Diceros bicornis minor: one gene and its partners. The protein of the gene in region 1 interacts with the protein of each later gene in a pairwise test. Links are inferred from orthologs where the notes say so. Each region holds a gene or a part of one and is shown on either strand. Other genes may lie near its edges.

Region 1 (4,097 bases):
TTGTGATCCCTCAGATTCTCATGGGATCAGCTTGATATTTCAATGTAACGTGCAGTAATGCAAACATCATATTTGGTGTACTATATATATCCACAGTTTTCCAATTACACAAAACACAAGTTGTGGAAGACTTTTTGATATAGAATGGTGGCTTAAATCAAGGCACAGCTATATAGCTGGTACCTCGCTGGAAGAATCTGGCTTTGAATTAGGAAGAAACTACAACCAGAGAGTGGCTCATGAGAACTCTAACAAGTAGGGTAGACGTTATGGTAATCAAAACCACAGTGAAGACACTACAGTGTCTTGTGTTCTTGTGCCTCCATTTGGTGAGGGCAGGAAAAGAAGGGAATCAAAGCTGGAGAAAGAGGTGGTGGGCAGAGGTGGTGGCAGGGGTGGTGGGATTATCAAGTCTGAGCAATTACTAAATTTGTATCCTTATTAAATATGCCAGATATGTCCTACTGCTACTTAAAGTCACTAATTAAAAATAAAGAGCCAGGATAAAACACTTCTTTCCCTTTGGGCTTTCCATACTCCTGGGCAGATGGCAGAAAAGAATGGGCTGCCTTAAACTTATCTAGGTGTTCACACAATCCTAGAAAAATGGGTATTTGGAACTTTAGGCTTGAGCCTAGGCTTATGATTAAAGCAGGAGAAAGTTTGAGTGGGACACTAGATATGATCCTGCTAAATCCCCTAAATCTTATTCAGAGAACTGAAGAAGGCCTGAAATGTGTTTTGGTGATACAGTTGTAAGGGCGTTAAAGGACTTTTAGTGATTTTCAACTGATGTGCTTCTTAACTTTTTGGATCATGAACCTCTTTGAGAATCAGATAAAAGCACCTTAGAAAGTTATGACTACCTCCCCCCCCCAATAAACATCCACAGTTACACATTACATATATAATCTCAGGGGGTTCACTGGCTGCCCAGAAGCCCAAGTTAAGAACCTCTGTGTTGTGTTATGTCCTCAAAACTTAATAAAGGCAATGGTGGTAACTGCTTAAAGAAGAACAAAAAGTTCTGGGATGAACTGGGATGGAAAGAGTGGATGGAAGACTCAAGAGAATTTGAATAAGCCTAGAAGGGACTGGGTATTGGTGATATTAGCTGGAGAGAGTGGAAGGGAGGAGTGTTCAACCAGGCCAGGAGCCTGGCTTAACTGACCCACTGGATTACATGACCACTACCCACAGTGCACTGGACACCAGAGCCGGGGAGGCTTCTCTCTAAGTGTGCCAAAATCATCTGTTTCCTTCAGCTGCCCTGTGTGCCTGGGCCAGCTGTGTGTGATTCCAAACCTGGTTATGCCCGTTGTTTTTCTGTATTTATATAATAATGTAATTAAACATCACATAAACCTATGAAAAATTAGTGCATTAAAAACTTTTCCTATGAAAACAAAGTCAAATGCTTTGGAAAGACAATACAAAAGAGTGTACATTTTAAAAATTGTTGAGAGTAGGTAAGACAACTGTAAAAGATTTTTTAAGGTGACTTAAAAATCTCAAAAGTATTCTGCATTCAGATTGCCTTAAAAGTGTTTAAATTCTCACTCCACTTTAAAGAAACCACACCTGGTAATCATAGGTGATGAGCGGCAAGACTGCACATTAGAATTACCTGGGAAACTTAAACCCAGGCATCCTCCTACTCTTTCTGACTTAATTAGTCTGGACTGGGGCCCAGGCATCAGTAGTTTTAAAAAGTTCTCAGGGTGCAGCCAGATTTGAGATTTGCTTGTGTAGTTTATACTAGAAAGGCAATTGGGAACTCCAACCAGCAGACTTACACAAAGAACACGCCTGGACACTACCCCAAAAGATTGGTGAAATGAACGTACTTTTAATGACAATGCTTGATATTTATTTGCATCATTTAAAAAATTCCCAACTTGAACTGGCTGTTTTGGTTTTTTCAGTTACTGCCATCTACCTATCTTAATCATATAATATAAAAGGACTTCAAATGTATGGTGAGGAGGAGGTTCATATGATACAAGATCTGATCAGGGCCCACATTACCACACAGGTCTCAGCTTGAGTCTTCTTTCAGTTTAGAAGTCTCAGACTAGGACGCAACACCAGGAACCTCTGAGGACTGGGGTTCTCACTTTCCTGGTTGGTTTTCTGAGTATGGCTGGGTAGGGGGTCAGAAGGGGCAGTTTCTCCTAAACCTTTCATTCCCAAAGGCCACTGCTCCCCAGAATTAAGGCCAGGTTTCTGTACGTGTGTTGAGGTCACCAGGAGGTAGTCGTGGGGGGGAGGGCTGGGAAGGAAACGTTTCTCCTATCCACCATTTCACAGGCAGTCTAGAAGGCTCCAAACTGGGTCAGAGAACAAAAAGTTGCTGCACTTGGGGCGATGAGCCCCAGGGAGCAGGCGAATCTCAATTCTCCCCTCGCCAAGGGCGTCCCACCCAGCCTTCCCCTCCTCCCTACACACCCACTCGCCCTCCCCCAGTTACAACAGGGAACCGAAAAGTCCAGAGGAGAAGGGAAAACCGGGCGACTTCGAACCTAGAATTCTCCTCCCCCCAGCGCGGGGATGGGGCTCCGGAGGTCGGAGATCGTACAGGGGCTGGGAGGGGAAGTCGCAGGGGCTGGGGATCACTCACCGCGGTCCGGCCCGGGCGGCGGCTCCCAGCCTCGCACCATGGGCCGCGGGGGGAAGGGGGAGAAAGGGCAGGAGGGCCTCCGGGGTGGGAGTGGGGTTCCCGCCCGGTGCGGCCTGCTCCGAGCCCACCCGTGCGGAGGGCCGGGACCGGGACTGCCCCCCCCGCCACCGAGAGCGCGCCGGCTAGCCCAGCCCTGCTCCAGCGAGTTGGAGGCGGGGCGGATGGGTGGGGCGGGCCCCGGGGGCGGTGCCAAGGTGGCCCGAGTCCCGATTGGTGGGCGCGGGCAGGCGGGCACCGCGGAACGCACTGGGCCGGCCATTGGCTGCGTGGGTCTCTGCTGAAGTTGGCTATTGGCTGCGTGGGGCAGGGAAGCTGTCCCCCGGGGCCAGGGTGCCGCGAATGGTACTTCCCCCCACCCTCGACCTATCGGCGCCGGACCTTCGGAGTACACTGAGCTATGTTCCTCCCGGAATTCCCCAAGGAATTCACGGCAGTTTGCTGAACTGTCCAGACCGCCTACAACTACTCCCCATTTGTTTCGTCTTGGAGGAAGACGGTTTGAGCATCCCCTTGCCAGCCTTACACTCGAGCCGCGCCTTCCCGGCCGAGGGCCCAACGGCGTCAGCAGCGTCACTGAAAACGAAGCGCCTAGAGCAACCGGGAACTTGTTGCTGAGGGATCAAATGTCTTGCCACCCGGAAAGACGAGGATCCTAGCAGCCCGGCACCTTTGGCCCCTTCCCGGGTCCAGCTGGCATCGGACAGGTGTTCTCAAAAACGAAGTGCTGGAGGGATCAGCTGGTTGCGACCTACCAGACCGCCAGGCCCCCCTCTCTGCCCTAGTAAAGAGAACCTGGAGCTCTGCCTCGTATCTGGGGACCTTGGTTTTCGCTGTCAAGGAAGGGATGACAATAAAATGGATCTTTCACCAAAGCAGAATTCCACACACTCCGAAGTTCTGGGCCAAAAGTTTGTCTATTTAGGATTCTCAGTCTTCTGACTAAAACTTCGGAACAATACTTTCTGAAGTGACTCTTCTGTTCCCATGCTGGTCCTTGAAAAAGTCTCTTCTTGCTTATTAGGTCACTTAATAGCTTATATACTTACAATAATTTATAAAACAATTTCAGACTTTGTCCTGTATTTCGCAGACTTCACCCCTCCCCATGTATCTCCCAAAAGCCAACCACCATAACGGCTACTTCTGAGTCTTCATCGCTTGGCTTTATGGTCTAGAGCTCTTTCAGGGTTGCCAGACATCAGAAATATTATATCTGCTTCAGCACTGAGCCCTATTTTCTGTTGCTGGCCCTGTATTTCCCCCGCCTCCACTCTCCTTCATTACATTTAGTAACAATCTCAACTCCTAAGAGCCAGCCCCACGTCCTTCAAACGACTAGTATCCGGCAAAAGCATCATAGGCCTAAACGACAGAAGACATACACTCAGTTTTAGAGTTAGAAACTTTTGATCCCTCA
Region 2 (4,097 bases), on another chromosome or scaffold:
TGGGTCCTCACCTCCCCCTCCACCACTTTTCCTAGAGGCAGGGATGGGGCAGGCAAGGGCACGGTGATCTGGGAAGGGTCTCATTCATCATCCAGCAAAGCTGACAGAGCAGAAAATGACCATGGGCTGGTGTGGTTCTGGGATTGGGCCTGAACACTTCTGAAGAGTTTCTTTGCAAGAAGAATCTCAGTCCTGGATGGCAGTTGTGCTCAGCTGTAGTTGGAATAGGGAGCGCTTACTTGGTCAGTAGGGTATTTTTAGCAGCCAGATGCCTCTGTCAATCCAAAGCAGACAGCTGAAATGGTCCAAGAGAAGAGGTAAGGTGATGTGTGCTGCTCTGCAATCCTTCAGCAGTCAGGCTCGCACTTTGTCAAGTGAGATGGGCCCCTTGTCCCCCAGTTCCCTCTCCCATGGGTGGACTGTTCGCAGAGAGCAGCAGACGCTAAACTGACCCCTTTGGCATATTACATAACAGTACTATTTAGGCTCCAAGGGGCATTCCTCCTCTCCAACACTATCTGGGGCTCCCCCAGGACCCCACCCAGGGTATGGACGTCTGAGAGTTCCCTGCTCTTGGCATCACTGAGGATGCAGGTGTGCTGGAGGCAGACTGGTAGAGACAGAAGGCAGGCCTTGAAAATAAAAATCCCCATTTCTATCTTTGTATCAAATCTCCCTTAAACATGTATTTGTTGCCAGGAAAATACCAATGTGCTCTGTCCTTCTTCTTACCCAGGAGTGAGGACATTGGAGAGACAATTCTAAAATCCCCACCAAACTAAATGCCACCATTCTTCACGCCAGGCAGCTCTCACTGAAGCTGAAAAAACTCCTGCAGATCTGGAGCTCTGGCTTATCTTCCAAGCAACATTTTTAGTGTTGGGGATACATCTATTTACAAGAACCCGGTGCCCTGGATCTCTGTGAGTGTAGGAGTTCACAAGCACTGGCTTCTGGGCCAGATAGATCTGCATATGAATTCTGAGCCCACCACTATGACTTTGAATTAGAACCTGTAAAACAAGGGCGATCACTTCTACCTCCCTGGATTGCTGTAAGGGTCGAACGAGATAATAGGTATAAAGGACACAGCACATGCTTGGCACTTCATAAAGAACTCATTAAACGATAACTATTTTATTATATTTTATTTATTCTATCACATTATCTTCCCTGAACTATCAAGATGTGCTAGAAATTCTGTCTTCAACCAAACTGCATCTCCTAAAACTTCTCTGACTCTTGGAAGCAGATGGAAAATCCTTCGTCAGACTGTGTATCCTGATTTTTAGGTAAGAACACAAAGCCCCTAGAGCTGGAGAATATCTCGGTGACTTCTGATGTATCCCAAAGAGCAAAACAACTTAAGACATTTAAAGTTGGGTGCCCCCAAAAGTAAACATTACATGCTCCCAAGAAAAAAAAGGAGTTCTTTAATCCAGGTTAGCTTCAAATGAATGCCTGGACCCACAGTGCCTGGAAACTCAAGGCCTTGCAATAACCAGAGCCTTCCCTCAAGGGCCAGCAGCTCAGCCTGGCAGGGATTAGGCTGTTCTTCTCCAGACACTGTACCCCTGGAACAGGTCCAGTGAAAGCCAAGGTCAAGGAAGAAATCTACCTGCCCCAAGAACAGAAAGAGAGAGGGAGCATCAAGCCCAGTGCTTTAGTTATATTTGCGAGTCTCAACCTTATCAGACCAACAAGTATTACATTATTAACGTGTGGTGGACAGAATAATGGCCCCCAAAGATGTCCAGGTCCTAATCTCCAGACGTGTGAATGTTACCTTACATGGCAAAAGGGACTTTGTGAATGTGATTAAGTTAAGGATCTTGAGATGGGAAGATTACCCTGGATTATCTGAGTGGGCTCAAAGAAACCACAAGAATCCTTACTAGAGGAAGGCAGAGAGGTCAGAGTCAGAGAAGGAGATATGACAATGGAAGCAAGAGGGTAAGAGTCAGAGAGACACTTGAAGATGTTATATTGCTGGCTTTGAAGATGGAGGAAAGGGCCAAACTGTAAGATAATAAATTTGTGTTATTTTAAGCCACTAAGTTTGTGATAACATGTTATAGCAGCAATAGGAAGCTAACACATAAAGTACTATACTTATCTCTCATTATAGTAAATATTATATAACATCCCTTTTGCTACTCTGAAATGAAATTCATACATAATTCACTAGCTCATAACTAAAAAACATAAATTACTAACTCCTATGGTCTAAATGTTCACGTCCTCCCCAAAATTCCTATGTTGAAATCCTCATCCCCAAAGGTGATGGTATTAGTAGGTGAGGCCTTTGGAAGGTGCTTAAATTATGATGGTGGAATCCTCATGAATGGGATTAGTGCCTTATAGAAGACGCTCCAGAGAGATCACTAGGCCCTTCTCTGCCACCATGTGAGGATACAACAAGAAGTCTGCGACACAGAAAAGGGCCTTCATCAGACCGTGCTGGCACTGTGATCTAGGACTTCCAGCTTCCAGAAGTGTGAGAACTAAATTTCCGTTGTTTATAAGCTACCGAGTCTGTGGTATTTTGTTACTGCCTGAATGGTCTAAGACACTAACCTAACCTAATAAGGGAGAAATAAAATGAAAGTTAACTTATAATAAAATAATATATATGCACTGTAAATTAAATATGTCAGTGTGTTCACTATGCATATGCTTGGGCACAACTACTCTAGAAAACATGATAAAGTGGTCAGATGTTTGCTCCTCTCAGCAGAATCACTGTGCTAGTGAGAGCTGTAAATGTAGGTTGATTTGGGGGCACAGATACCACACAGGACATTGTTGTGTGTGATATGATTTTCTGAAACATCAAATAACTCTTAGTCAAGTTCTGATTGAAAGAAAGTATAATCTTCCTTCAGTTAACAAGTTGCATTTCTGAAAAACTTACAGTATATTAAAACTTTACAAAAACTATTTTATGATTACATATAAGACAGAGTTCTAGACTCAGATCATCATAAACAAGGTTTTCACATACCTGAAATGCACATCTGGATATTTGAGGCTGTGCGGGATGAGCAGAGATTCTTCAATGTATAAGGCTGTCCCTTGCTTTCTAGGACATCTAGCATCTCTGGTAAGGATCAATGAGACAGGGGATGGTGGCACTAATTATCAGGCTGGTGATGAGGATGGGGGCACAGAGCCCTGCTACACTGCAAATTAATAAAAATCCTATGTAAAAGTTTTTTGCCTGTCTGCCCTTGTTGCACACCCCCGCCTCCGTTTTTTTTTTCCACAGGTATCCAAATCCTTCTTGGTGGCCCTGGCCCTGCCCACAATATGCCAGTAGCACCCAACAATCATTGTGACAACCAAAAGTTCCCCCACATTTCTAAAATGCCCCCTAGGTGGTGGAACTGCCTCCATTGAGAACTGCTAGTCTTGACATCAAGAAAAGTACATCTAGAGCTTTGAAAGGATTTCTTATTGCCCTACTGGGGATGTTCAGCCAAAGAAGAAAAGATTCAGGAAGGACATGCGAGTTTTCTTCAATCTCAGACATTGAAGTATGGAAGTAGATTCATTCTGCATTTCCTGAGAGATCAAACTAGGGGCCAGAGTGGACATAACCATGTGACAACGTGGGTAGTGGTTAAGATCACAGACTTGTGGGGCCGGCCCAGTGGCATAAGTGGTTAAGTCTACGAGCTCTGCTGTGGCGGCCCGGGGTTTGCAGGTTCAGATCCCAGCTGCGCACCAATGTACCGCTTGTCAGGCCATGCTGTAGCAGGTGTCCCATATAAAGTGGAGGAAGACGGGCATGGATGTTAGCCCAGGGCCAGTCTTCCTCAGCAAAAACAGGAGGATTGGCAGATGTTAGCTCAGGACCAATCTTCTTCACACACAAAAAAAAAAGAAAGAAAGAAAAGATCATAGACTTGAGCTCTACAGACCTTCACAATAATGTTTCTGTAGCTGAGCCCTTTTCTGCTCCAAGAAGATGGAAACTTTTTCCATTGTTTATAATTTTAATAGCCATCCAGTCTATTTCCTTTGTGTGTATGGATAAAGGTGGTGAGAAAGGGAGAAAAACGGACACAGCTCAAGTCGAAGGACACCTAGTCAAG
Region 3 (4,097 bases), on another chromosome or scaffold:
TTTCTGTCTTCTGCATCTCAAGTCAATAGCAATTCAATTTTTACAGCTTCCCAGGGCAAATAACCTGGGAATCGTTTACTTCTTTTTCTTTTACCCTGCCCATGAGAATCACTGGCAAATCTTCTTGCTGCCTTTGAAATACATACAGATACTCTTTCCCAACATCTTTACTACTAACACCCAAGCCACCTAATAGGCCTCCTGCGGTCAGAGTCACCCTTTAAAAATGTTCCGATCTGCTCAAAACTCTCCAAGAGCCCCTATTTTACCCATAATAAAACCCAAAGTCCTTACCATGGCTCCAAAGGTTCTGCATGAGCTGGGCCCTTGTTACATCTCTGATCACCTCTCCCACCACTTTCCTTCTTGCTCAGTGGGCTCCAGCCCCAGTAGCCACTTTGTTGCTTTGAATGTGCCAAGCACACTCCAGCCTCAGGGCCTTTGCCCTTGTTCTCTCCGCCTGGACTGCTCTTCCCCCAGGTATCTGCCTGCCTTGTTCTTTCCTTACTTTATTCAGGTCTCTGCTCAAATATCCTCTTATCAGAGGGCTTTCCTAGCCGCAATCTATAAAATAATACCCTGTTCCCCACTGGTCACTCTCTTCCTCTTCTCTCTGGCATTCCCTAACACAGTACATATTTGTTTAAAGAGGTCAAGGATATTGTTCATTTTGTTCACAGCTACACCTCCAGTGCCTAGAACAGTGCCTGCCATTATGGTAGGCACTCAGCAAATACTTCTTGAATGAATAAATAAACACAAGAGGAGGAGGTTTACAAAGAAAAACAGTTTAGTTCTGAAAATGCTGGGTTTGAAGCAACCATGGGACATTCAGGTAAAGCCATGTAGAAGTTTATTTAGAGGCCTAGAAAAGAATTTTAAATAACAGTAATAATGGTGATATTATTAAACAAGTAATAAAAGTAGTTGCTATGTTCCAAGCACAGTGCTGAGTACATTAAGTCACTTCATCCTCACGATAGCTGAGCAAAAAAAGAGGCATTCAAATTACCCCCAAAGAGGGCAAAAAGTTCTCAGGGGTTCAGAATTGGAAAACTTTAGACATCTCTGCATACTAGAGAGACCCGGGGAGACTGTGATGCCGGAAAAGACTGCCCATGAGTTTTTCTCCGTGTTAATTTTTTATCTTTGTGTCCCTCTCACCTTCATATACTTGTTGAAGACAGTCTGGATCTCCTCATTGATGCTAGGCTGCAAGACAGCTCGGAGGAGGTCCATGGAGATGGAAGGATCTGTGAAACTGCATTCAGGAAGGAGACACAGTCAGGAGGCATGTCCCAAACATATCCTTTTCTAGTCTGCCTAGCCAATTATTGATATAGGATCCTTAATGACAATAGATAGCTTTTACTGAAAACTAGCTATGTGCCCAAGTTGTGTGCAAACTACACAGATGCATGACTTTATTGCATTCTCATAATAACTCTATGAAATGGATAAGGCATTTTATGAACTATAATACTTACACGAAAAGTCTATACACCTTTATATATATATATATACTTTTTTTTTTTGCTGAGGAAGATTTGCCCTGAGCTGACATCTGTTGCCAATCCTCCTCTTTTTTTGCTTGAGGAAGATTAGCCCTGAGCTAACATCTGTGCCACTATTCCTCTATTTTGTATGTGGGTCACTGTCACAGCAATGCTGATGAGTGGTGTATGTCTGTGCCTGGGATCCGAACCTGCGAACCCAGGCCGCCGAAGCAGAACTTAACCACTATGCCACAGGGCCGGCTCCAACCAACACTTTTAATGAACATCCATTTAATCACTACCCAGGTCAAGAAACATAATCAGCATCCCAAAGGTCCGTCTTGTGCTCTCTCCCTTCTCTGCAATGGATGCTACTATCAGCCTCACTTTTTTCTTAACCTCCACCCTATTCTGCCTCTCTAGAGCCCTCAACCACGGAGCCAGTGAGTGTCAGGAATCTTAAGCATCGTTTAATTCAACCCTCTCCCTCATTTTGTTCATGAGTTCAGAGAGGGAAGGGATTTGCTCCAAGTCACACATAGAGTTACAGAATCTGAGACTCCTCTCTCTTAGTCCAGTGCTCTTTCTACTGGCTGACGATCTCTTCTCAGCCCTGTGCAGCGGCGACCCCAAACTGCCATCCAAGCCAGTGCCTGGGAGGTAAGTCCCACCCACGGCGAGCCTTACCTTGTCGTCATCTGTGAGCGGCGGCCCCTTCGCTGCACCTGCCGGTGCTTTATCATTATGTTCCAAGGGTTCTGTGGGGACCAAGGGAGATGTCACTGAGGCCCGTGACACTGGGGTGGGGGTGGAGGGTGGATATGAAGTTAAACCTAGACATCCCTGCTTCTCAGCTGCTTTCACCACCTCTCCCACCGTAGGGCAGGCGGGAGGGCGGTGGTTGGAAGGCCCTGCCAGGGACGAGGAACCGACGAAAAGTTTTTTGCTTCTCAAGTCCCAACCCCACTTTTTCAGGAAGGGCTGGAGGACGGGAACCAGTGTTACCGAGGGCCTACTCTGTGGGAGACGACGTGCTGGGCGCTCTACCCGCATTTATATCCCATCCCCACAACTTTATGAGGCTGGCACTGATCATCTCCATTTTATAAAAGAGGACACTGGAGCTCGGGGGTTGACAGGACCGGCCCACGTCACCTAGCCAGCAGGGCGGCACCAGAATTTGAATTCAGGTCGTCGGACCGCGAAAACACCAACCCCCTCGGCAGCACCAGCCGCCGCGTTCTCTCGCCCGCGGGCCGGGGTCTCGGGAGCCCGAGGCCCCGCCCGGCCCGAGCCTAGCCCCGGCCCTGGCCTCCCCGGGGGCGCCCTCACCGTGAGAACCAGCTGCCCCGCTGCGCCCGCGTCTCCCAGCTCGGGGCCGCCCCGCTCTGCCCCACCAGGTCCCCGCGGCTGCTCGGCGTCGCCAGTGGCCCCCATGGCGCCCCCGACCCCCACAACTTCAGCCCGACTCTGCCACCGGCCGGAAAGTGGCCCCGTGACGTCATTGGAGCGCGCCGGCCGCCCGCCCGGAAGCGCGACGCCGTGAGCTGCGGAGCTACTGTGGTGGGAACCGCCGCGTCTCGCTGGGGGCCAGGACGCTTAGAGGTCTCGTGTGTGGGATGCTAGGGGTTTCCTCCCGGGAGGGGCCGCGTCTCGGGTGTGGACTGTGAGTGTTCAGTCAACGATCGTTCTTCGGCTGGGCCAAGGCCGGTGGAGAAGTGCGGGGCAGGAGGAGAGCGGGTTTCCATGGGCTGGGGTTGGAGAGTAGAGGGGAGCGTTTCGTACAGCAGCGCCTGCAGTTCAGTCTTTGAAAACTGTAGATTTTAGTATGCCCGGCACTCAGCCCCCAGAATTGGAGTGGGCCTAATGCGGGGACCCAGAAACCCAACAAGAGGGGGTGTGACCCGTGCCATCCCAGACACTCATCCGCCGGGTGTCTCTAGGCCTTGACCCCAGGGCCACCCCTAGCGTCTGAAGGCATCAGAATGAAGGTTGGGACTTGGACCGTGGATTCCCTCAGCCCCAGGGAGCTGGGCTTGTCTCCCCAGATGGGTGATTCAGGGATGAGCTGGGGATGCAGGGGTTTAACAGCTGTGGAGTTCCCAGAGCTCCCCTTAGCTCTTAGAGGTAAGACATCCCTGAATAGAATTAGAGCGATTTATGGGTGGTAGAGAAAGTTACTGTCGACAGGGGAAAGAATCACTGCAATTTAAATAGGAGATATTTATTTGGGCAATTAGAATTGCAATTTGGGAAACACAGATTCAGGTAGAAACCCAAAATGTGCTCCGGAGAAGACAGAGAAGGCCAGGAGTTATAAAGACAAAAAGAGATAAGTCACGCAGGTTGTTTTGCAAGACTTGTGATTGCTGCTGGCAACAGCTGTTATTTCTTTGTTACACGTGATTGGCTGCTAAGGCCATCTCTAAGGCAAAAAGTTCTTATTTAGGGGAGTAAGGATTTTTCTTAAAGGAAGGTCAAGATAACAACAGGAGGTACAGTTCAAAAATTACATTCCAACTGGTTAGAGATGTGTTGTACCTGCGTAAGCCCCACTTCCTTAATGGCCTCCCAGTTCTATTTTAGAGGCCCCGACATATG

What was found. The genes of interacting proteins can lie anywhere in the genome.
Region 2: the proteins of HOMEZ (region 1) and SMYD1 interact in binary tests that used the Homo sapiens proteins (3 or more experiments, as listed by UniProt). The link is inferred for Diceros bicornis minor from reciprocal best matches to the Homo sapiens genes HOMEZ and SMYD1.
Region 3: the proteins of HOMEZ (region 1) and DNTTIP1 interact in binary tests that used the Homo sapiens proteins (3 or more experiments, as listed by UniProt). The two-hybrid records come from large-scale screens. The link is inferred for Diceros bicornis minor from reciprocal best matches to the Homo sapiens genes HOMEZ and DNTTIP1.

What each region holds. Positions count from the first base shown.
Region 1 is NC_080744.1:24,540,935-24,545,031, reverse strand, and holds the start of HOMEZ (homeobox and leucine zipper protein Homez), read right to left. Parts: upstream 2,803-4,097; 5' UTR 2,661-2,802; coding exon 2,621-2,660; intron 1-2,620. UniProt on the Homo sapiens protein: May function as a transcriptional regulator.
Region 2 is NC_080751.1:3,157,154-3,161,250, forward strand, and holds the start of SMYD1 (histone-lysine N-methyltransferase SMYD1), read right to left. Parts: upstream 2,984-4,097; 5' UTR 1-2,983. UniProt on the Homo sapiens protein: Methylates histone H3 at 'Lys-4' (H3K4me), seems able to perform both mono-, di-, and trimethylation. Acts as a transcriptional repressor. Essential for cardiomyocyte differentiation and cardiac morphogenesis.
Region 3 is NC_080758.1:15,553,915-15,558,011, forward strand, and holds the start of DNTTIP1 (deoxynucleotidyltransferase terminal-interacting protein 1), read right to left. Parts: upstream 2,941-4,097; 5' UTR 2,934-2,940; coding exon 2,829-2,933; intron 2,255-2,828; coding exon 2,184-2,254; intron 1,262-2,183; coding exon 1,165-1,261; intron 1-1,164. Other genes in the region: WFDC3 (WAP four-disulfide core domain protein 3), read left to right, coding at 3,116-3,162. UniProt on the Homo sapiens protein: Increases DNTT terminal deoxynucleotidyltransferase activity (in vitro). Also acts as a transcriptional regulator, binding to the consensus sequence 5'-GNTGCATG-3' following an AT-tract.